4 linked regions of the Saccharomyces cerevisiae S288C genome follow. Changing the gene in region 1 together with any one later gene gives a genetic interaction. Each region holds a gene or a part of one and is shown in the gene's direction. Other genes may lie near its edges. The genes, in order: RPN4, CTK1, PRE9 and BLM10.

What was found.
Region 2: mutations in RPN4 (region 1) and CTK1 together harm fitness more than expected from each alone (negative genetic interaction), as found in Saccharomyces cerevisiae (5 studies listed by BioGRID, with this or other methods).
Region 3: mutations in RPN4 (region 1) and PRE9 together harm fitness more than expected from each alone (negative genetic interaction), as found in Saccharomyces cerevisiae (7 studies listed by BioGRID, with this or other methods).
Region 4: mutations in RPN4 (region 1) and BLM10 together harm fitness more than expected from each alone (negative genetic interaction), as found in Saccharomyces cerevisiae (5 studies listed by BioGRID, with this or other methods).

What each region holds. Positions count from the first base shown.
Region 1 is NC_001136.10:413,724-418,310, reverse strand, and holds RPN4 (stress-regulated transcription factor RPN4), read left to right. Parts: upstream 1-1,602; coding exon 1,603-3,198; downstream 3,199-4,587. Other genes in the region: oxysterol-binding protein related protein OSH2, read left to right, coding at 1-648; phosphoglycerate mutase family protein GPM2, read right to left, coding at 3,423-4,358. UniProt on the Saccharomyces cerevisiae protein: Acts as a transcriptional activator of a number of genes encoding proteasomal subunits. Binds to a PACE (proteasome-associated control element) DNA sequence 5'-GGTGGCAAA-3'.
Region 2 is NC_001143.9:181,417-185,044, forward strand, and holds CTK1 (cyclin-dependent serine/threonine protein kinase CTK1), read left to right. Parts: upstream 1-1,541; coding exon 1,542-3,128; downstream 3,129-3,628. Other genes in the region: TGL1 (sterol esterase), read left to right, coding at 1-1,009; HSK3 (Hsk3p), read right to left, coding at 3,387-3,596. UniProt on the Saccharomyces cerevisiae protein: Catalytic subunit of the CTDK-I complex, which hyperphosphorylates the C-terminal heptapeptide repeat domain (CTD) of the largest RNA polymerase II subunit.
Region 3 is NC_001139.9:758,385-762,668, forward strand, and holds PRE9 (proteasome core particle subunit alpha 3), read left to right. Parts: upstream 1-3,007; coding exon 3,008-3,784; downstream 3,785-4,284. Other genes in the region: CCR4-NOT core subunit CAF130, read left to right, coding at 1-2,754; LSB1 (Lsb1p), read left to right, coding at 4,044-4,284. UniProt on the Saccharomyces cerevisiae protein: The proteasome degrades poly-ubiquitinated proteins in the cytoplasm and in the nucleus. It is essential for the regulated turnover of proteins and for the removal of misfolded proteins.
Region 4 is NC_001138.5:121,060-129,984, forward strand, and holds BLM10 (proteasome activator BLM10), read left to right. Parts: upstream 1-2,419; coding exon 2,420-8,851; downstream 8,852-8,925. Other genes in the region: cohesin subunit SMC1, read left to right, coding at 1-2,047. UniProt on the Saccharomyces cerevisiae protein: Associated component of the proteasome that specifically recognizes acetylated histones and promotes ATP- and ubiquitin-independent degradation of core histones during DNA damage response.

The sequences.
Region 1 (4,587 bases):
GGTAATCCACAAGTTGATAACCACGGTGAAGTGAACGTTGTCAATCACACAACCGGTGATCATTGCAAGTTGTATTTCAAAGCAAGGGGATGGAGGTCATCAGGAGCATATGAAATCACAGGCGAAGTCTACAACAAGAAAAAACAGAAGGTGTGGATCCTAGGAGGACACTGGAATGAAGCTATTTTTGCCAAGAAAGTAGTAAAAGATGGCGATCTCTCGTTGGAGAAAACTAGAACCGCTGCATCAGCAGGGAATGGGCCTACGGATGACGGAACGAAGTTTTTAATATGGAAGGCAAACGACCGTCCTGAGGAGCCATTCAATTTAACACCTTTTGCTATCACGCTGAATGCTCCACAACCACATCTATTGCCATGGTTACCCCCCACAGATACACGTTTGAGACCAGATCAAAGAGCAATGGAAGATGGGCGTTATGACGAAGCTGGTGATGAGAAATTCAGAGTTGAAGAAAAGCAAAGAGCAGCACGCAGAAAAAGGGAGGAAAATAACCTTGAATATCACCCACAATGGTTCGTCAGGGATACTCATCCCATCACAAAAGCTAAATATTGGAGATATACGGGCAAATATTGGGTTAAAAGAAGAGATCATGATTTGAAAGATTGTGGTGACATTTTTTAACACGCCTTTTTTATGCGAGCTTTTTTCCTGGTACTTGTATGTATTTTGAATGTATTTTATTGTACTGAATTGTATTTTATTCTACCGCACATTTGTTTCTTTTGGCATATATAGTATGTTTACTTAACAATAGGGATTTCCTTCAGTTTTCCTAGATGTATCAATTTAGTTATCTTTTCGAACACTTTGGTTATGTCACCATGGTCAGATGACCATATTATTTTGAAATCCATATAACCAATTACAAAGCAAGCAACAAGCGAGTAAATAAAATCGTTAGGCGGTTACCATAACCCTTCGTTACGACGCTAAAGTGCTATATAATGCCTCCATTACGGCTGCGATAGAACTGTGCCTAAATTAGCGGCAGAGGTTGAAAACCAATCATCACTAACGTATTCAATATTAATTGTTGAGAAAACCAACTACGGATTGTTATAGAGATCAAACTATATGCACTGAGAGGACGTTACTTCTTTTTTTACTACCTTTCTGTTCCTGTAATAACAAGTTCCGTGGAACTCAAAGAAAGGTGCCTCAGCCCGTACGAACCTTTCCACGGATAATCACGTGATCGCTATTACTAATAGCCGTTTACAGTGATGGTTCTAGAAAGTTCCGTTTCGGCGAAACTTGTTGAGGAGAGCAATTCTATATAAGGAAAGAATAGTTCGAAGCCCAATTTGGGGAAAGCCCGGGATGAGCAGCCTAACCCACACGGATAATTTTTTATCGTTCAAGGAGGAGGATACGTTTTATCTCTAATATAAATTAAAGATAAACCCGAAACTCTTTTTTCTTCTTGGCGTGGAATATTTAAGGAGTAGATCAGTTCCATTTTGTTCATCCTTTTCTCCTCAAGGAAGAACTCCGCTTTTTAGTTGAACTAATAGTAGATAGTACTAATAGCTAATTTGTATCTTTTCAAAAGTTTTCTAGAATTTTCAAGCAATCATGGCTTCTACGGAACTTAGCCTAAAAAGAACCTTAACGGATATTTTAGAAGACGAGTTGTACCATACTAATCCAGGTCACAGTCAGTTTACGAGTCATTATCAAAACTATCATCCAAATGCTAGTATTACTCCATATAAGTTGGTGAATAAGAACAAGGAAAACAACACTTTTACGTGGAATCATTCATTACAACACCAGAATGAATCGAGTGCAGCTTCGATACCCCCACAACAAACCTACCATTTCCCGATATTCAACAAATACGCGGATCCTACTTTAACTACCACCACCTCTTTTACGACTAGTGAAGCAACGGCCAACGATAGACAGATTAATAATGTCCATCTCATACCAAACGAGATTAAGGGTGCTAGCGAAACCCCATTGCAGAAGACCGTCAATCTAAAGAATATAATGAAAGTATCAGACCCGTATGTACCGACACGGAATACGTTCAATTATGATGTTAAAATTTCCAACGATTTTTTCGATAACGGTGACAATCTATATGGTAATGATGAAGAAGTGCTTTTCTATGAGGATAATTATAATCCGAAAATGCAGTGGTCACTTCAAGATAATAGCGCCGCAATAAACAATGAGGATGCGAGAGCTATTTTTAACAATGAATTTGACTCTGATGACGACGATATCAGTGATGATGAAGAGGATGAAATAGAAGAAAATTGTTTGCAACAAGAGCAACACCAAGAGGAGCCTTTACTGTCATTGGATGTTACACCAATCTCAATGTTTGGCTCAGATCAAAAAACGGGTCGTGCCAAGAGTTCTAGTCATTTATTTAATGAGTACAGTTACGTTGACTCTAACATGGACAGCATTTCCAGTGTTGTATCTGAAGATCTGTTAGATGAACGGGGACATGAGAAGATAGAGGATGAGGATGAGGATAATGATCTTGATGAAGACGATATCTACGATATCTCTCTCTTGAAGAACAGAAGAAAGCAAAGTTTTGTCCTCAATAAAAACACTATTGATTTTGAAAGATTTCCATCTCCCTCAACCTCGGCAAACGTACCGTCTACTGCTACTACCGGTAAAAGGAAACCAGCAAAATCATCCAGTAACCGTAGTTGCGTTAGTAACAGTAATGAAAACGGCACATTAGAAAGAATAAAGAAGCCTACATCAGCTGTAGTAAGCTCAAATGCTAGTAGGCGGAAGCTAATTAATTATACTAAGAAGCACTTATCTTCACATTCATCTACAAATTCGAATTCGAAACCTTCGACTGCATCACCATCGGCCCATACGTCATCTTCTGACGGTAATAACGAAATATTTACGTGTCAGATAATGAATCTCATTACAAATGAACCGTGTGGTGCCCAATTTTCAAGGTCCTATGATTTAACGAGACACCAAAATACCATTCACGCTAAAAGGAAGATTGTCTTCCGTTGCTCGGAGTGTATAAAAATTCTTGGATCTGAGGGCTATCAGAAGACGTTTTCGAGACTGGATGCTTTAACAAGGCATATAAAATCGAAGCATGAAGATTTGTCGTTAGAACAACGTCAAGAAGTTACAAAATTTGCAAAGGCTAATATTGGTTATGTCATGGGTTAATTAAGGTTACAAATTATATAGGAGATAAAAGAAGAAAACCTCACACAAAATGGAAATACATATACACATCTATATATATTTACAATATATATCATATATCTGCATTCAGGAATGTTCTTATAAATATCACATTTTTAAAGTACCTCATTGGACTTATAATAAGTTTTCTATTGGTTTTCATTATACTTCGGAAAATACACAATTATATTATATACTTACCCCCCTTAAGGATTTTTTATGAAACCCTCATTACGGACTTTCTCAGCATTGATCTTAGCAGATTCAGGATCTAGGTAGAATTTTCTGATAAACTTAAGACCATTATTCTTATCTAATTCAACGACTAAGGGGATACCATTTGGAATATCAACATTCTTGATGTCATCATCTGATATACCCTCCAGAATTTTCAGTAGCGATCTCACTGAACTTCCATGGCCCACAATCAGGCATGAAGATTCATCATATTGATTGGCTAATTTTAATATGACATTTTGTAGAAAAGGATTCAATCTATAAACCACTTCACGAAGAGATTCGGAATCCGGTAATACAATGTCATGATTGCTGCATTCCAATTCATATTTTATTTGTCTGTTTGGCTCCTTGAATTCGTACCCAGTAGAAGAGCCCTTCTCATTTTCTTGTTGAATCATCTCACGGTCAAGATCTACAGGTGGTGGCTTACCCTCGTAATCTCTCCTAATGAACATATATTTATCCTTACCATATTCTTTTAAAACATTCGGTTTCCTCTGGCCCTGCCAGGAACCGTAATGACGTTCATTTAGCCTCCAAGTTTGAAGAATCGGGATTTTCATATTATCCTTGTCATCACTGCCAAATTCGTCTCCAAGTTTGATTTTATTAAAGTCGTAAACAACCTGCAGTTGTGGCTTTAACTTAAATTCTTCACACATCGTTTCTATGGTCTGTTGGGTCCTAATTAAACGTGAGGTGTAACCAATCTGGGGTAATCTCAAATTATTAGCTTTACAATATTGTTCGATTAGCTCGGCAGAATGACGAGCTTGTTCTTTACCTTTTTCGGTTAGCTTAGCGTCAATCCAACCACAGAATATATTCTCGTGATTCAATTCACTTTGTCCATGCCTTAACAAGAACAATGTCATGACATTGGATGGTGTGCTTGCAGTCATTGTTTACTAAGTTAATATATCTATATTTTTTTTATGTATTCTTGGGTTTAAATTGAACAACCTCGTATTTGGATGTGTGTCTCGAAACACTTCTACGTATATATATAAGCTACTTTGGATTCAAAGATAATTTTGTCACGTTTGTTCTGGTGGGAAATTTCAGCCAAAGGGAAAAAAAAAGAAAACGGTGAGCTCCGTATTATCTTCGTCGTGGGGTGATAACAACATG
Region 2 (3,628 bases), on another chromosome or scaffold:
GAGTGAAAAATTGAATCGAAAAGTCTCCCATTTTATAGCCATAGCACCCGCTATGACTCCAAAGGGGTTGCACAACAGAATTGTCGATACCTTGGCCAAATCATCGCCCGGCTTTATGTATCTTTTCTTTGGTAGGAAAATTGTGTTACCTTCAGCTGTCATTTGGCAAAGAACTTTACATCCAACACTTTTCAATTTGTGTATCGATATCGCAAACAAGATACTGTTCAATTGGAAGTCGTTTAACATTCTACCGAGACAAAAGATTGCTTCTTACGCAAAACTTTATTCAACGACCAGTGTAAAATCCATTGTTCACTGGTTCCAAATATTAAGATCTCAGAAATTTCAAATGTTTGAAGAGTCTGATAACATGCTAAATTCCTTAACTAGGCCTTACCAAATTGCTAATTTTCCTACTAGAACAAATATCAAGATTCCCATTCTTTTAATTTATGGTGGCATAGATTCTTTAGTTGATATTGATGTGATGAAAAAAAATCTACCCTTCAACTCCGTCTTTGATGTTAAAGTTGACAATTATGAACACCTGGATTTGATTTGGGGCAAAGATGCCGATACCTTGGTCATTGCTAAAGTCTTGAGGTTTATTGAATTTTTTAACCCTGGTAATGTTTCAGTGAAGACTAACCAGTTACTACCATCAGCAAGTCTGGTTGAGGAATTACCAAGCACGACATGGAAGACAACTCATCCAACGCATGGTCTCAGTTATAGAACTCACTCGGCAGACCGTTCTCCGTTGTCTGTACAAGCTGATGAAGCGGATGAGGTCCACAATGCTGACAATTCAAGGTTCTTAAGACGAGTGTTTTCTACTAGTGCCATAGACGAGGACAACGAAAATGAGCACCAGGATGATACAGAAGATCAAATCCATAAGGAGCAGCAAAGACGGTTAAGTGCCTATCTGGAATCATCCAAAGATTTACGACAACTAGATGCCAACTCTTCGACAACTGCGCTGGATGCTCTAAATAAAGAATGAAAAGAATGCGAGAGAAACCCTATTAAACTATTTTTTGTCTAGGATAATAATATTAGCGCTAATCTAAAAATCGATGAACTAAAGAAAGAATATACGTACGTTTTATACACAATAAATGGATTTCATAAGAAGTCCTTAATATCCTCATGCTTGTGGATACTGGAAATTAGTAAAGTAATTAACTTCCTTTTAGCATTATTCTTATTTGGCTTAAAAAGGTCACGTGAAGCTCTATTTTTTTCGTTTTTTTTTTTCACTGATGGAAGAGAAAAACCTCTACATAATAAGGTAACTTTACATATTGATTGCCAATGAGATGTTAAAAAATGGACGGTTCAGACAGTAAAATACATTTAGAAAAAAAGAGAAGGTCTTATCAGTGTATTTATTCACTGTGCATATTAGCTTTTTTTGGACTTTTTTTGTTCCATTAGTACTTTTAAAAAACCTATTTGTAAATAAAACTAATTCTAGCACTATTCTTTGCACTAGAATAACACAGGGACCATACAGCATAAATTATTTGGTAACAATGTCCTACAATAATGGCAATACTTATTCAAAGAGTTATAGCAGAAATAATAAGAGACCCTTGTTCGGAAAGAGGTCGCCAAATCCTCAGTCCCTAGCGAGACCACCGCCACCAAAGAGAATACGGACTGATAGTGGTTACCAGTCGAATATGGACAATATATCTTCTCATAGGGTAAATTCAAATGACCAACCAGGCCACACGAAAAGTCGTGGTAACAATAATTTATCTCGCTATAACGATACATCCTTTCAAACAAGTTCCAGATATCAAGGTTCAAGATACAACAATAATAATACGTCGTATGAAAATAGGCCTAAAAGCATAAAAAGGGATGAAACAAAGGCTGAATTCCTGTCTCATTTGCCAAAGGGGCCCAAATCTGTTGAGAAATCAAGATATAATAATTCATCCAATACTAGTAATGATATAAAAAATGGCTATCATGCTTCAAAATACTATAACCACAAAGGCCAGGAAGGGCGGTCTGTCATAGCTAAGAAAGTTCCAGTTTCGGTTCTAACGCAGCAAAGGAGCACGTCAGTTTACCTAAGGATAATGCAAGTCGGAGAAGGAACATATGGTAAAGTTTACAAGGCAAAAAACACGAATACAGAGAAGTTAGTAGCGCTGAAAAAATTGAGATTACAAGGAGAGAGGGAAGGCTTTCCCATAACCTCTATACGAGAGATTAAACTACTACAAAGTTTTGATCATCCAAATGTCTCTACTATAAAAGAAATAATGGTCGAATCTCAAAAAACTGTATATATGATATTTGAATATGCTGACAACGACTTAAGTGGATTACTATTAAATAAGGAAGTCCAAATTTCTCACTCACAATGCAAACATCTCTTCAAACAATTGCTATTAGGAATGGAATATTTACATGATAATAAGATTTTACACCGTGATGTTAAAGGCTCAAACATCTTAATCGATAACCAGGGGAATCTAAAAATAACAGATTTTGGACTAGCGAGGAAAATGAATTCGCGAGCTGATTACACTAACCGTGTCATTACGTTGTGGTACAGACCACCAGAACTATTGTTGGGAACTACAAATTATGGAACAGAAGTTGACATGTGGGGTTGTGGCTGCCTCCTGGTGGAATTATTCAATAAAACTGCAATTTTCCAGGGCTCTAATGAATTAGAGCAAATAGAATCAATTTTCAAGATTATGGGAACTCCTACAATAAATAGCTGGCCAACGCTTTACGATATGCCGTGGTTTTTTATGATTATGCCACAGCAAACTACCAAGTATGTCAACAATTTTTCTGAGAAATTTAAAAGCGTTTTACCATCTTCAAAATGTCTGCAATTGGCGATTAATTTGTTATGTTATGATCAGACGAAAAGGTTTAGTGCAACCGAAGCTTTACAAAGCGACTATTTCAAGGAAGAACCAAAGCCTGAACCTTTAGTTCTTGATGGATTGGTAAGTTGCCACGAATATGAAGTCAAATTGGCAAGAAAACAAAAGCGTCCTAACATACTATCCACCAACACAAACAATAAGGGTAATGGTAATAGTAATAATAATAATAATAATAATAATGACGATGATGATAAATAAGGATATATAGCCAATTGAAATAAGTAGACACAAAAAATAGATTAATAACTTATTTATTACGCGATACCCGTAAATATGATACGAACATCTAATTTCATGTGAAGCGGCCTAGTGAATAGAAGGTTTGCCTATTTTCACTCGTTCACTATACGTAACTTGGTTGTCTTTTTATGCAAGCTGTTTGTCCATCGTACCAACACCATCTCATTTCACATCTTATAAATTAGCCTGGCCACTAACTGTCTTACCTCTTATGCCTTATTGCGTTTTTCCAAGCATCTGCTCCATATAATAAATGTAACTACCTATCAACCAACTTCCATGTACCTTACCCAATTGGCCTACCAAGTTTTCGTTACATTGTTTCGACATGATATCTAGTTGTTTTGTCGTTTCCTGTAAATTCGTTTGAAGCTCTCTAAGTTCGTGTGCAAGCTGATTATACTGCCTTTGTTTGTTAGCGTTCATTCTCTTGCCTGAAATTCTTTGTGTCCTCTTCG
Region 3 (4,284 bases), on another chromosome or scaffold:
GTTAGAAAAATTTTAAAAGATTACAATAGAATGATAGAATGCCGAAATTTTTATTTCTGGTATTCCTTTAATGCTGAGAACAGAGTAAATCTTACTTTTAGTGATAACATTAGCCTGTTAATGGAAAATGATGAAGGCAATGCTGGAAGTGGCCTTGACGATAGCCGTTTTGATCATCAAAAACAACCGAGAGAGGCGATAATGGGCCGAACAATAAATGACCAGGAACAAATATATTCATTCGAACTGAACCAAGATGGAACGCTTGAAATACCCAACGTTATGGAGCATTCTTTACTAAGACACGAGCTTCTTTTTAAAATATTAAATCTCACTACGGTATTGACGCCATTATTGGAACTACAATTTTCTACGCTATGTGGCTTAGTAGATCCATTAATGCAGCCTACTCCCAATGATAAGCATATTATATCGATAGACTTTCTTTTTCAGCTTTTTTTGGGATTAATGTCTCAGTCGATCAAGACTTCTCAAGAACACAACGACCATTATGACTGGAAATTTTATATGTGTTTTAACATGCAAAAAATTATTGATGCTACCATGTTGAGGCTCAACTGCTTTGATTTTGATATATTAAACTCGGTAAACAATACAGATAATGCAGTTCATTGGAAGACGCAACTTCACAGATGGCTACCGCATGGCCTGAATACACAAGACTTGGAATTACTCTATATGATTGATATACTGGCGGTATATACCATCTACAAGTTGTATGAAAAAATACCTATACAACTAAACCCATTTTTATTTTCATTAATATCCTTATGGAAAAACCTCTCCTGTGTTATACTTTTAGCCTTAGAAATTGATAGAATTGAAGAGGAGAATGGCACTTACGAAACGCCGCTTATGGTTCGCGCCACAATTCGTGGAGCCGCAGCATTGAGGTCTGTAATAGCTACCGTTCTCAATGGATTAGTGAAAAATAATGATCATGATTTCAAGCACGAGTCTTTAAACACATTCATGTCGCCCTATGGAAGAAAATTGTGTCATGGTGCTTTATATGCCGATTTAAGGTCACATACTGCATCTCTACTTGCGCTTGGAGCAAGCATCGAAGATGTAACAGATTTATTTGCCGATTTACAGTCAGGTGATAGATTTGATGAGGATATTAGATATATGTTTGATTATGAATGTGAAGATTATGATGAATCTTTCTCTGAAAGCGATCATGGAGGATTGGATGAAAGCGTTGTTAACCCAACAGAAAAAATAGCATCTGGTAGTAATAATGTTTTCTTTCGGAGACGGTGCAATTGCATCTTCAATGATGATAAGTTGGTGGCAGAGGATGGTGCAAATGAAGCCTTTGGGTCAACAAATAGCGAAAACGTTGAAGGCGCAATGCATAATAATAGGAATGCGGTACATAACGCGACTACAGCCACTTCTGATCACGTCGTTACGTCACCTAACCCACTTTCCGTTAGATCAAGAAGTACTTTTGAATTTGACTATAGTGGGGAAGATTGGAGGGACGTTCCCAGAGATTTCAATATGTACTATTCGCCATCTTATTCATTCATCCATGAGCCTAAGTTAGATGTCATATTTAGTTTGACTCTACGTGGCGCAACAGAAAAGTTGAATAAGGAGGAATCCATATTGTTAGTGCGTTCAGTTGCATCGTGTGTAAGGAACGAGCAGGACCAAATGATTTTAGCAGACCTGGAGTCTAATTTTTCCGCAAGTATAAACGGCGATGTAGAAGGTGAAGGAAATACCAAAATGTCCAAGATAGATAATGAAGATCTCAGAAGAACCACGCCGGATGATATTTATGAAATATGGTCTGAAGAATCAGCATTTGAAAGGATGCTAAACGTGAATCACGACGTTGCGTGGAGATTAATGGATGAAATGTTAATGTGCACCGGTTATAGGAGAATATTGATATGGTTCCTTACGCATTTGGAGTTAAAACATTCGTTGATATATTACGTTTTTGAACTAATAATGGGGTTACGTGGAAAACCGTTTTCCGGAGAAGCCAGTGATCAAGATAAAAAGGATGATATGATATATGAGATCTTGAAGAAAAAGCAGAAGAATGAAGATGCTTCAGGACTTCCCTTTTCAAGGCAAGGACCTATCGTATTATCTGATATTGAGACTAAAATGTTACTGCAGGAGTTTTTTATGAATGCTGCTATTTTTTTGTCATCAAAAAATAACGAAGAAGAGAATGAAGACGGCGAGAAAATCTCCTTGTACTCCCTTGGTTTGGTTAGGTTGATCTGTTACATGGTGCAGACACTCATCGCGAACGACAAGTTTTTTTTTACCAAATCAGAATGCACTTTTGAGCTTCAAACTTTACTGATGACATGGATTGGCATCCTTCCTGAAGCCAAAGATTTATTCTTTAAGATCAAGACAAGGCTCGCCATGGAAGAAGAGGATAGTGCCGATACTATGCAGCATGAGGGCAGGAAGAACTCTGACATAGAGAAGAAGCTAAACGCTAAGCCAGCTTCTGAACTGAATCTGAAATTGTTAAACCTGTTTCCCTCAAAGCCTGCAAACAAAGACGATAGTTCCCCTATTAACACGTTGCGTAGTTTTATCGCTGATTACTCCTTCGACACCCAGGTGAACCCTCCAGGAAGAAGGGTGGTGTTCTACGATGGTAAGATTTTGCCATTGCCCAAAGCCGATAAGCCTATCCCACTTCATGAATATATAACACTCGCAGAGCTCGATGTTGGAGACAGTGAGTGAGCAGTGAATTGCTCATGTTTTCTCTGCATCCTCATTTAATGACAATTAGCCATGTAATAACATCTTGAGGCAGTTAAATATTCGTTACCCTGCAGGTGGCAAAAAATTTATAGAATAAAAGCATAAAAAGATGGATATCTATGTAATAAGGAAACATTGGCAGAGCGAAGAGAACAGACTGCTTTCTATAAAAAGTTTTCGATCAGTCTCTATTTTAATAATTGATTATTGGATATAGTTAGTAGTGTTAAACATGGGTTCCAGAAGATACGATTCCAGGACAACAATTTTCTCCCCTGAGGGACGTCTATATCAGGTTGAATACGCGCTAGAATCCATTTCACATGCAGGTACCGCAATTGGGATTATGGCATCTGATGGGATTGTTCTTGCAGCAGAACGCAAAGTCACAAGTACTTTACTAGAACAAGACACCTCTACCGAAAAACTTTATAAGTTAAACGATAAAATTGCGGTTGCCGTTGCTGGACTGACTGCAGATGCAGAAATTCTAATAAATACGGCTAGAATTCACGCTCAAAATTACCTTAAAACCTATAATGAAGATATACCAGTAGAAATTTTGGTGAGAAGGCTAAGTGATATAAAACAAGGTTACACGCAACATGGTGGTTTAAGACCATTTGGTGTGTCCTTTATCTACGCCGGTTATGACGATAGATACGGTTACCAATTGTATACATCTAATCCATCGGGAAACTATACAGGGTGGAAGGCTATTAGTGTTGGCGCTAACACATCAGCAGCACAAACCCTACTTCAAATGGACTACAAGGATGATATGAAAGTCGATGATGCCATTGAACTGGCTTTAAAAACGTTATCCAAAACTACCGACAGTAGCGCGCTGACTTATGACAGGTTGGAATTTGCTACTATCAGAAAGGGTGCTAATGACGGAGAAGTGTATCAGAAGATTTTCAAGCCTCAAGAGATAAAGGATATATTGGTAAAGACTGGTATTACCAAGAAGGATGAAGACGAAGAAGCTGATGAAGATATGAAATAAGGTTGGAAAGTATTGTTTGACTTCATGCTTATATAAATATGTACGCATAGAAACATATCTCTAAAATTAAAAGTGAAAGAAAAAAATCGCTAAGATTCCCCTTTCGGGGGAAGGCTGAAGAAACTTTTTTTTGCGCAAATTTCAAGATCGGAATCGCTCGAGAGGCAAATATAAAAAAGGGCCTGCTCGTTTGGCCTACTTGTTGTTGGATTCTAACTCCAATCTAATTTTGGCAGCACTTCAAAAATAAACAAAAGCGATGTCTGCGTCACTAGTGAATCGATCATTGAAAAATATAAGGAATGAATTAGAATTTTTGAAGGAATCAAACGTCATATCAGGCGACATTTTCGAATTAATCAATAGCAAGTTACCTGAGAAATGGGATGGAAACCAAAGATCGCCCCAAAATGCAGATACAGAAGAGTACGTTGAAGCTTTATATGATTTTGAAGCTCAACAAGATGGAGATTTGTCATTGAAAACAGGTGATAAAATAC
Region 4 (8,925 bases), on another chromosome or scaffold:
TGGCTTGGCAGTGTCTACCATCTTAGGTAAGAACTTTGATTCCGTCATTGTAGAAAATTTAACCGTAGCTCAAGAATGCATTGCATTTTTGAAGAAGCAACGTGCGGGCACTGCATCTTTCATACCACTAGACACAATTGAGACAGAGTTACCTACATTATCATTGCCTGACTCACAAGACTATATTTTATCAATTAATGCTATTGACTACGAGCCGGAATATGAAAAAGCGATGCAATATGTGTGTGGCGATTCCATCATATGTAATACGTTGAATATTGCTAAAGATCTGAAATGGAAAAAGGGCATAAGAGGCAAATTGGTTACAATTGAAGGTGCTTTGATCCACAAGGCCGGTTTGATGACAGGTGGTATATCAGGAGATGCCAATAATAGGTGGGATAAAGAAGAATATCAAAGCTTAATGTCTTTAAAAGACAAATTACTAATCCAAATCGATGAACTTTCCAACGGTCAACGCTCTAATTCAATCAGAGCAAGAGAAGTTGAAAATAGTGTTTCACTATTGAACTCGGACATAGCAAATTTGAGAACTCAAGTAACACAACAAAAACGCTCCTTGGATGAAAATCGTTTAGAGATTAAGTACCATAATGACTTGATAGAGAAAGAAATTCAACCGAAGATAACTGAACTAAAGAAGAAGCTAGATGATTTAGAAAATACTAAAGATAATTTAGTGAAAGAGAAGGAGGCTTTACAAAATAATATTTTCAAAGAATTCACTAGTAAAATTGGCTTTACAATCAAAGAATATGAAAATCATTCCGGTGAATTGATGAGACAACAATCTAAAGAATTACAGCAGTTACAAAAACAAATTTTGACCGTTGAAAATAAGTTGCAGTTTGAGACAGACAGACTAAGTACTACTCAAAGAAGATATGAAAAGGCGCAAAAGGATTTAGAGAATGCTCAAGTTGAAATGAAGTCTTTGGAAGAACAGGAATATGCAATAGAAATGAAAATCGGATCAATAGAGTCTAAATTGGAAGAACACAAAAATCACTTAGATGAGTTACAGAAGAAATTTGTAACGAAGCAAAGTGAATTAAATTCCAGCGAAGATATTCTAGAGGACATGAACAGCAACTTACAAGTCTTAAAAAGGGAAAGAGACGGTATAAAGGAAGATATTGAAAAGTTTGATTTAGAGAGAGTAACAGCGTTAAAGAATTGTAAAATTTCTAATATAAATATACCTATATCATCTGAAACAACGATAGATGATTTACCAATATCTTCCACTGATAATGAAGCAATTACAATTTCCAACAGTATCGATATAAACTATAAAGGACTACCTAAAAAATACAAAGAAAACAATACCGATTCGGCAAGGAAGGAGCTGGAGCAGAAGATTCATGAAGTGGAGGAAATATTGAACGAGTTGCAGCCCAATGCAAGAGCTTTGGAGAGATACGACGAGGCGGAAGGAAGGTTTGAAGTGATTAATAACGAAACAGAACAACTAAAGGCCGAAGAAAAGAAAATATTAAACCAGTTCCTAAAAATTAAGAAAAAAAGAAAGGAACTGTTCGAAAAGACATTTGATTATGTGAGCGACCATTTAGACGCAATCTACAGGGAACTTACTAAAAATCCCAACTCCAATGTGGAATTGGCCGGTGGTAACGCTTCTTTAACCATAGAAGACGAAGATGAACCGTTCAATGCGGGAATCAAATATCATGCCACTCCGCCTCTTAAAAGATTCAAAGACATGGAATATCTTTCTGGTGGTGAAAAAACCGTAGCTGCATTAGCTCTATTATTTGCTATTAATTCCTACCAGCCTAGTCCCTTCTTCGTGCTGGACGAAGTGGACGCAGCCCTAGACATTACTAACGTCCAGAGAATTGCTGCCTATATAAGAAGGCACCGTAATCCAGATCTCCAATTCATTGTCATTTCATTGAAGAACACCATGTTTGAAAAATCTGACGCTCTCGTTGGGGTTTACAGACAGCAACAAGAAAACTCGTCGAAGATCATAACTTTGGACTTGAGCAATTACGCAGAATAATCTATGAAACCAACCTCTGCTATAACCCGTCAAATAACTAATAATATCTATATAGGTCAACTAGCTAGTGCAATATCATAGTAACAATAATATTAATAACGTCACTTTTTTTCCAGGGTAACCCAATTGTGGTGGGTGGCGGCCGAGGTATCCCTTAGAAAAGAATTTTTTAAGTTCTTTCTCATCTCTTACCAGTGGAGAAGTACACGATATTTGCAAAGTCTGTCATCAGGGCTTGATAATAAAGCTGCATTAGATCTTAGCAAAAACTACGAGAAGAACATTGAATATTGTAGCTGTATTTGCATACATAAACTTTATCATTGTTCGTTAGCTAGCTTTGCACATTAATTTTTCGATTTGTTACCGCCAATGACCGCTAACAATGACGATGATATCAAATCACCCATTCCCATTACTAACAAGACCTTATCCCAATTGAAGCGCTTTGAGAGAAGTCCAGGAAGGCCCAGTTCTTCTCAGGGCGAGATAAAACGTAAAAAGTCTAGGCTATATGCCGCAGACGGAAGACCACATTCTCCGCTAAGAGCAAGGTCTGCTACCCCAACGCTACAGGACCAAAAACTGTTCAATGGCATGGATTCCACTTCCCTTTTGAATGAAAGGCTACAGCATTATACGCTGGATTATGTTAGTGACAGGGCCCAGCATATGAAGAATATATATGACCCATCATCTCGCTGGTTCAGCAGATCCGTGAGGCCTGAATTTCCTATTGAAGAGTTCTTACCATATAAGACTGAAAGTCATGAAGATCAAGCGAAATACTTGTGCCATGTCTTAGTTAATCTTTATATTGCGATCAGCTCATTAGATATACAAGGTTTGATTTCTATTTCCAGTAAAGATCTGGCTGATTTAAAGAAAGAAGTGGATGATTTAGCTCTTAAAACCGATCTTTTCAGGTTATCTAACAACACAGCGGAGAATGACTTACTTGGTAACGATATTGCTGATTATGACGATGCGGAAGGCCTGGAGGACGAATTGGATGAATACTTCGACTTAGCAGGCCCCGACTTTAATGCTACCGGAAAAATCACAGCTAAATCAGCTACTATTGTGAATGTAAACCATTGGACTAATGAGCTCAAAAATTGTCTACATTTTGATTTTCCAGTAGCTTTAAGAAAGTCGCTAGCGACAGTTTATTATTATTTGTCTCTTGTTCAGGGCCAAAAGGTGTATAGACAAATGCATGTCGATATGTTCGAAAGATTAGTAAGCCTTGACGATGATAGGACAAATTTCACTGAACTGTTGCAAAAACAAGGTCTTTTGCTAGATCATCAAATCATGCTCAATTTCCTGTGCGAATTTCTACCTTATCCAGATCCCGACTATGCTCGTTATGAATTATCATCAAAGGAAGATTTACAGTTATTTAGATTACTTTTGAAGCATGCACATAATGCAAAACCATTTTTCGATAAGTCAAAGGAAAGTTTGTTAGTTGATACGATGAATTTTCTGTTGTCTAGTCTTGCACCATCTACTATGATGGCTGTCATGCCTATCGTTACATCCGTTGTGCCCTATCATTATCATATCCATTCTAAGATCATCGATTATTTCCCGTTTTGCTATAGCATCTGGAGCTCAGTCAGCGCAAACGTGGCCATCGACACTCACATGTATGATTTTGTTGGGTCAATTTCCAAAGACGTTCATAATAAGATTTTGAGTAGCGAGCATGAAAAGGATGTAGTTGGAGTGGAGTTTGGAGAATTCGGGATTTTTACTGATGATCAAATGACTTTTATGTTCAATAGGTTACAAGGCCATCTTAGAACAGACGGTCAAATACATTCGTATTCCCGCACAGTGAAGCCTTTTGTTTATGCTATAAACGGATCAAAAAAAGATAGGTTTTTTGAAAAACTTGTAAGTTTAGCCAAAGCAATCGAAACATTTATCCATCCCTCTAATAATGGGTTTTGGACCAAGCCAAATGCTAAATTCGTTCATGCATTTATAAAGTCTTACCACGGAAGGGTCAAATATGAAGAAGATATTTGTGCTAGGGGCGTCACAAATGGGATATGTTTAACTTCTTTTTGTCACGAAGAGATAGTTGAAATATTCTTAAATATTATCAGTCTGGGTTCACAGAATAAAAATCCTGATATTGCGAACTATTACATCTCTTGTTTCGCATATCTGTTAGAGCTGGATCCTTCAAATGCATATTTAATTTATGACAAAATACTGATAGATTTGTACGATACGCTGGCTGACCAATTTATCAATTCGAGACACAGAATCATTTCCTCTTTGAAACAATTTACAAGAGTAATTCGGTTTATTGTGATGGATAAGCTATATCGCGTGCACATAACAAACGTCCTTTCGATGCTGGTCTCCAAACTTGATATGAACGATACTAATTTGACAAGCAACCTCATCAACGGTATTGTATCTATAGCCGCTTTCATTCCTATCCAAGACCTCACTGGGGAGGACGATTATATATCGTTTGAATCGGATACTCTTCCTTTAGTTCAACAACATTTTTATCATATTAAGTGTGGCGAAAGTTCAAAGACCTTCCGAGTTGATGATGAACTGTTAAATAACGCTTTCAAAGCTTCCACTACAGTTTTTCAAAGTATGCTAAAAGTATACGTAGAAAAAATTTTCCAATTGGTTGATGTAGACTTAGAGGACTCTTTGGTTACTAAAATAAACCAAACAACTATGATTTTACAAGAGTCTATGGACGATAAAATATTTAATTATTTTGCTTCTTTATTACAGAGAAACTTCTGGAGTAATGACTCCTTCAAGGAAAAGGATCCAAACTATGAATTAGTTACTATCCCACTAGCGGCTTTAGTAAGAAGGAATAATGGTTTGAGTAAAGAGTTGGTCAGAACTCTTTTATTCCATATCAAAGAACAAATCAAAAGAGGCGCCGGGTCTGTAAGAAGTACTTCAGAGATTCAACAGAGGGATGTTAAGTTAGTTTTATACTTAACTGCACTAAATGATGTCTTAAGGCAATGTCATGAATCTCTATTGGAGTATAGCGATGAGTTGATAACATTCATGAAATATTTATACGACAACGTCACTAACCCGCCATTGGATGTTATCACATCTATTGTTATTCACAGTGCTTTAGCAACTCTATGTACAACCGAAATAACTGATTGTCGTCTATTCCCAGAGGACTCTAAGATTCCGGAAAAAGACAGATGGGGAGGACTACAGTTCGATCCTCGAAGATTTGATAAACAGCATTTGAGTTTTCAGTGGCACGTACCTTCTAGTGACGAGATAACTTTATCCATAAGCATTCTAGAAAGCCTTTCCGAATACTGTATTAACAACGTAGAAGAACTGATGAAAGCTCCAAGACATGATTCCGAATATGGCGATATGATACAAAAATATGTTTTAGTTATGACACATACGCTTTCCGGGTCAAGTTTACTTTTTGATCCAGATTTTAACAAATATAGGACGCAATCAAACTTATCATACAGAGAGAAACTGATTTTATTAAAGAATATACGCGAAAATAATTGTGACCCTCAAGAACTGGATATTGATATTGAACAAATTCGTTCTGGCAAGGATGATGAAGACTATATTGAGAGTAAGGACATTGAAGCAGGGCTGAATGCAGGAGTTTCCGATGTTGTGCAGTTAAGAGATGAGTTTCCGGATGAATTAATTGTTGATGAAGAAGTAGTGTCTGAGATGCCATCTGGTGTAAATACCCCTATCGCGGGGACGCATGGCACGGACAATTCAGCTATGAGTTCGGATCTAGCTTTCAGGGATTTAGATATTTACACCTGTAATTATTACTTCGGAAATACCACTGAGGAGAAGTTACAAAACCCACAATATTTACAAGTCCACAGAGTTAGAGCGCGCATTGGACATTTCTTTCACAAACTCTATGTTTTTTTATCTACAAACTTCGAAAACAACACCAACATGTTCCAAATTCTATTGCACGGATTGAAAGTTTGGTTCACAGATCTGGGACAAGAAACGGTCTTCAATGAAGACCCAAATGCCTTCATTGACGTTGATTTCCTAGAAAACGTTCAATCTCTCTCACACGTAAATGAGCCCTTCACGAGAACCAATTTTGCAATCAGAGCAAACAGTTTGCACCAGAGTAGAGTTCTATTACATTCAACAAATAGAAAAGCTTCCAAGCTGGAAAACCTATTGTTAGTTGACATCATACAGTTAGCGACATCCCTTTATCCTGATATTTATAAACCAGCACAGGGAACTTTGGTACACTGTATGAAACAATTAGTTGGGTCATATGGCGTAGTCATCAATAAAATTATTCCATCATTAGAGAAAGCGATTAAGGATCATGATTATATGAAAATCCAAGTTATTTTAAATGTTTTGTTAATTAAGAAAATCCATAGGAAGCTTATGACGGATTATAAAGACATCGGCAGATTGATATTTCTGCTTATTGAATGTTGTCGTGTGAATGAATTAGAGATTGGTATGTATGCAGATAAAATCTTAACTGACATAGTGATTGGGATCAAGATTCCTTCTAGTGTATGTGTCATTTCCGATCAAGCTTTCTTACCTTTAGCACCTCCTGATGGTACTATTAATTTGCAAGTTGAAGCGGTAAAGCTTGCCAAAAAGAAAAAGCGTGAGTACTACCTCTCTCTGTTAGTGGATTTGCAGGACAAACTTTTAGACAAATTAGATAATGAAAAAGATATGGGGTGGAAGATAAGAATGTTCATTTTACGTTTTGTTACACAAATCCAATCGAACCTCGAAAGCAAACCCGATAAAAGAGCAGTATTTTCAATAATCTCCCAAATCTCCACAAAACATCCCGAAATCATACATTTGGTTGTAAAGTCATTGTTGTCGACGTGCAACAAGATAATATCTCTCTCTGACTATGAATATGACATCACCAGGGCCTATAAGAATGAATTCAATCCATCATTTGTGGAAATACTGGACACTTCGACCACAAGCTTCCCTAAAACGTTTACTGAAGAAATGAATAACTTTGATAACCCCAAGTATTTTATCGATTTGAGGGCGTATGTAGGGTGGCTATGTTGGGGAAGGCTTATGTACGTCATGTCGCCGAAAGCTTTAAAGCTCAATTTACGTGAGAATGAACTGGAAGTCCTCAAGACAGCTGGTCATCTATTGACAAGAGAATTCCTGAGAGATGTTACAATGAATTTAGTCCAAGATAATGAAACTAGGGGTGTTTTTAGTAGTGGTAACGTGTCATTTTTCTCTTTAGTAATCCTTTTGATATCATCTGGTTTCTGCGAACTGAATATGTCGGATCTCTTTGAGCTATGTGAATCCTACTATAACAAAGACGATAAGGCTTCGATGATCATGTCTGTCGAGATAGTGGCTGGCTTAGTTTGCGGGAGTAAGTTTATGTCAGTCTCTGACTTGGACAAACGTGACACTTTTATCGAAAACTTCCTAGCCAAATGTTTAGATTATGAGTTGAACCATGACGCATTTGAAATTTGGAGCACCTTGGCATGGTGGTTGCCTGCAGTCGTTGATTTAAGAAGGTCTAAAACTTTTTTTTGCCATTTTATCAACGCCGATGGCATGTTTGACCGTGAATCTGATGCAGCCACACATCAAACCTCCAAAATTTACATGCTAAGAAGTATCTTGATGAGCATGGAATTTAGAGCCCCAGATGTTGGTAAGCTATTTGATGAGTTGGTATTTGATCACCCATACGATCAGGTTCGCCAGGCTGTCGCTAAACTATTGACGACCTTAGTTCAAAATCAAAGTAATCCGTCAATTTCAGATCCAACCACATTATTAGAAGCAGAACGGAATGATCCAGATGGATTAGGGTTACCATTAAAAAGCGTCCCAGAAAAGGTGGATGCCTATATTAAGAAGCAGTTTGAGATCATTAAAAATCTGGAAGATTCCGTTGTCGGCCTGAATCCTCAACAATTTATTAAGACAGACTATTTTTACAGGACATCCACAATATTTTATTGGATCAAAGAAATGGCGAGAGGGCCTAATAAAGTTTTGTTAGTTCCATATTTAGTCGATTATGTTTTACCATTTCTGATCGGATTAGTGAAACATAAAGATGTTTGTGCTCTTGCCAGTTTAGATCCTGTTCGATTGTATGCCGGCTTGGGCTATATGCCGATCAGAAAGAACCATGTTGCCGCCATTGTTGACTATGTTTGTTCGTCAAATGTAGCACTATCTTCAAACCAAACGAAACTACAGCTAGCTTTCATCCAACACTTTTTATCAGCGGAACTGCTTCAACTTACTGAGGAAGAAAAGAACAAAATTTTGGAATTTGTTGTCAGCAATTTGTATAACGAACAGTTTGTAGAGGTGAGAGTTCGTGCGGCATCCATTTTGTCTGATATCGTCCATAACTGGAAAGAGGAACAGCCGTTGTTGAGTTTAATCGAGAGATTTGCAAAGGGTCTCGACGTCAACAAATACACGTCGAAAGAAAGACAAAAGTTATCCAAAACGGATATCAAGATTCATGGTAACGTTTTGGGTTTGGGAGCTATTATATCAGCGTTCCCCTATGTTTTTCCCCTACCGCCATGGATACCCAAGCAACTAAGCAACTTATCCTCGTGGGCCAGGACTAGTGGTATGACTGGACAAGCTGCCAAAAATACTATTAGTGAGTTCAAGAAGGTGAGGGCCGACACTTGGAAGTTCGATAGAGCATCTTTCAATACGGAGGAACTGGAAGACCTGGAGGGTGTCCTATGGAGAAGTTACTATGCCTGATTCATATTAGTATAGGATATTAAGCACATATCTAGACATATATGTACATCTAAACAAATAGCTGGAGCTATCTG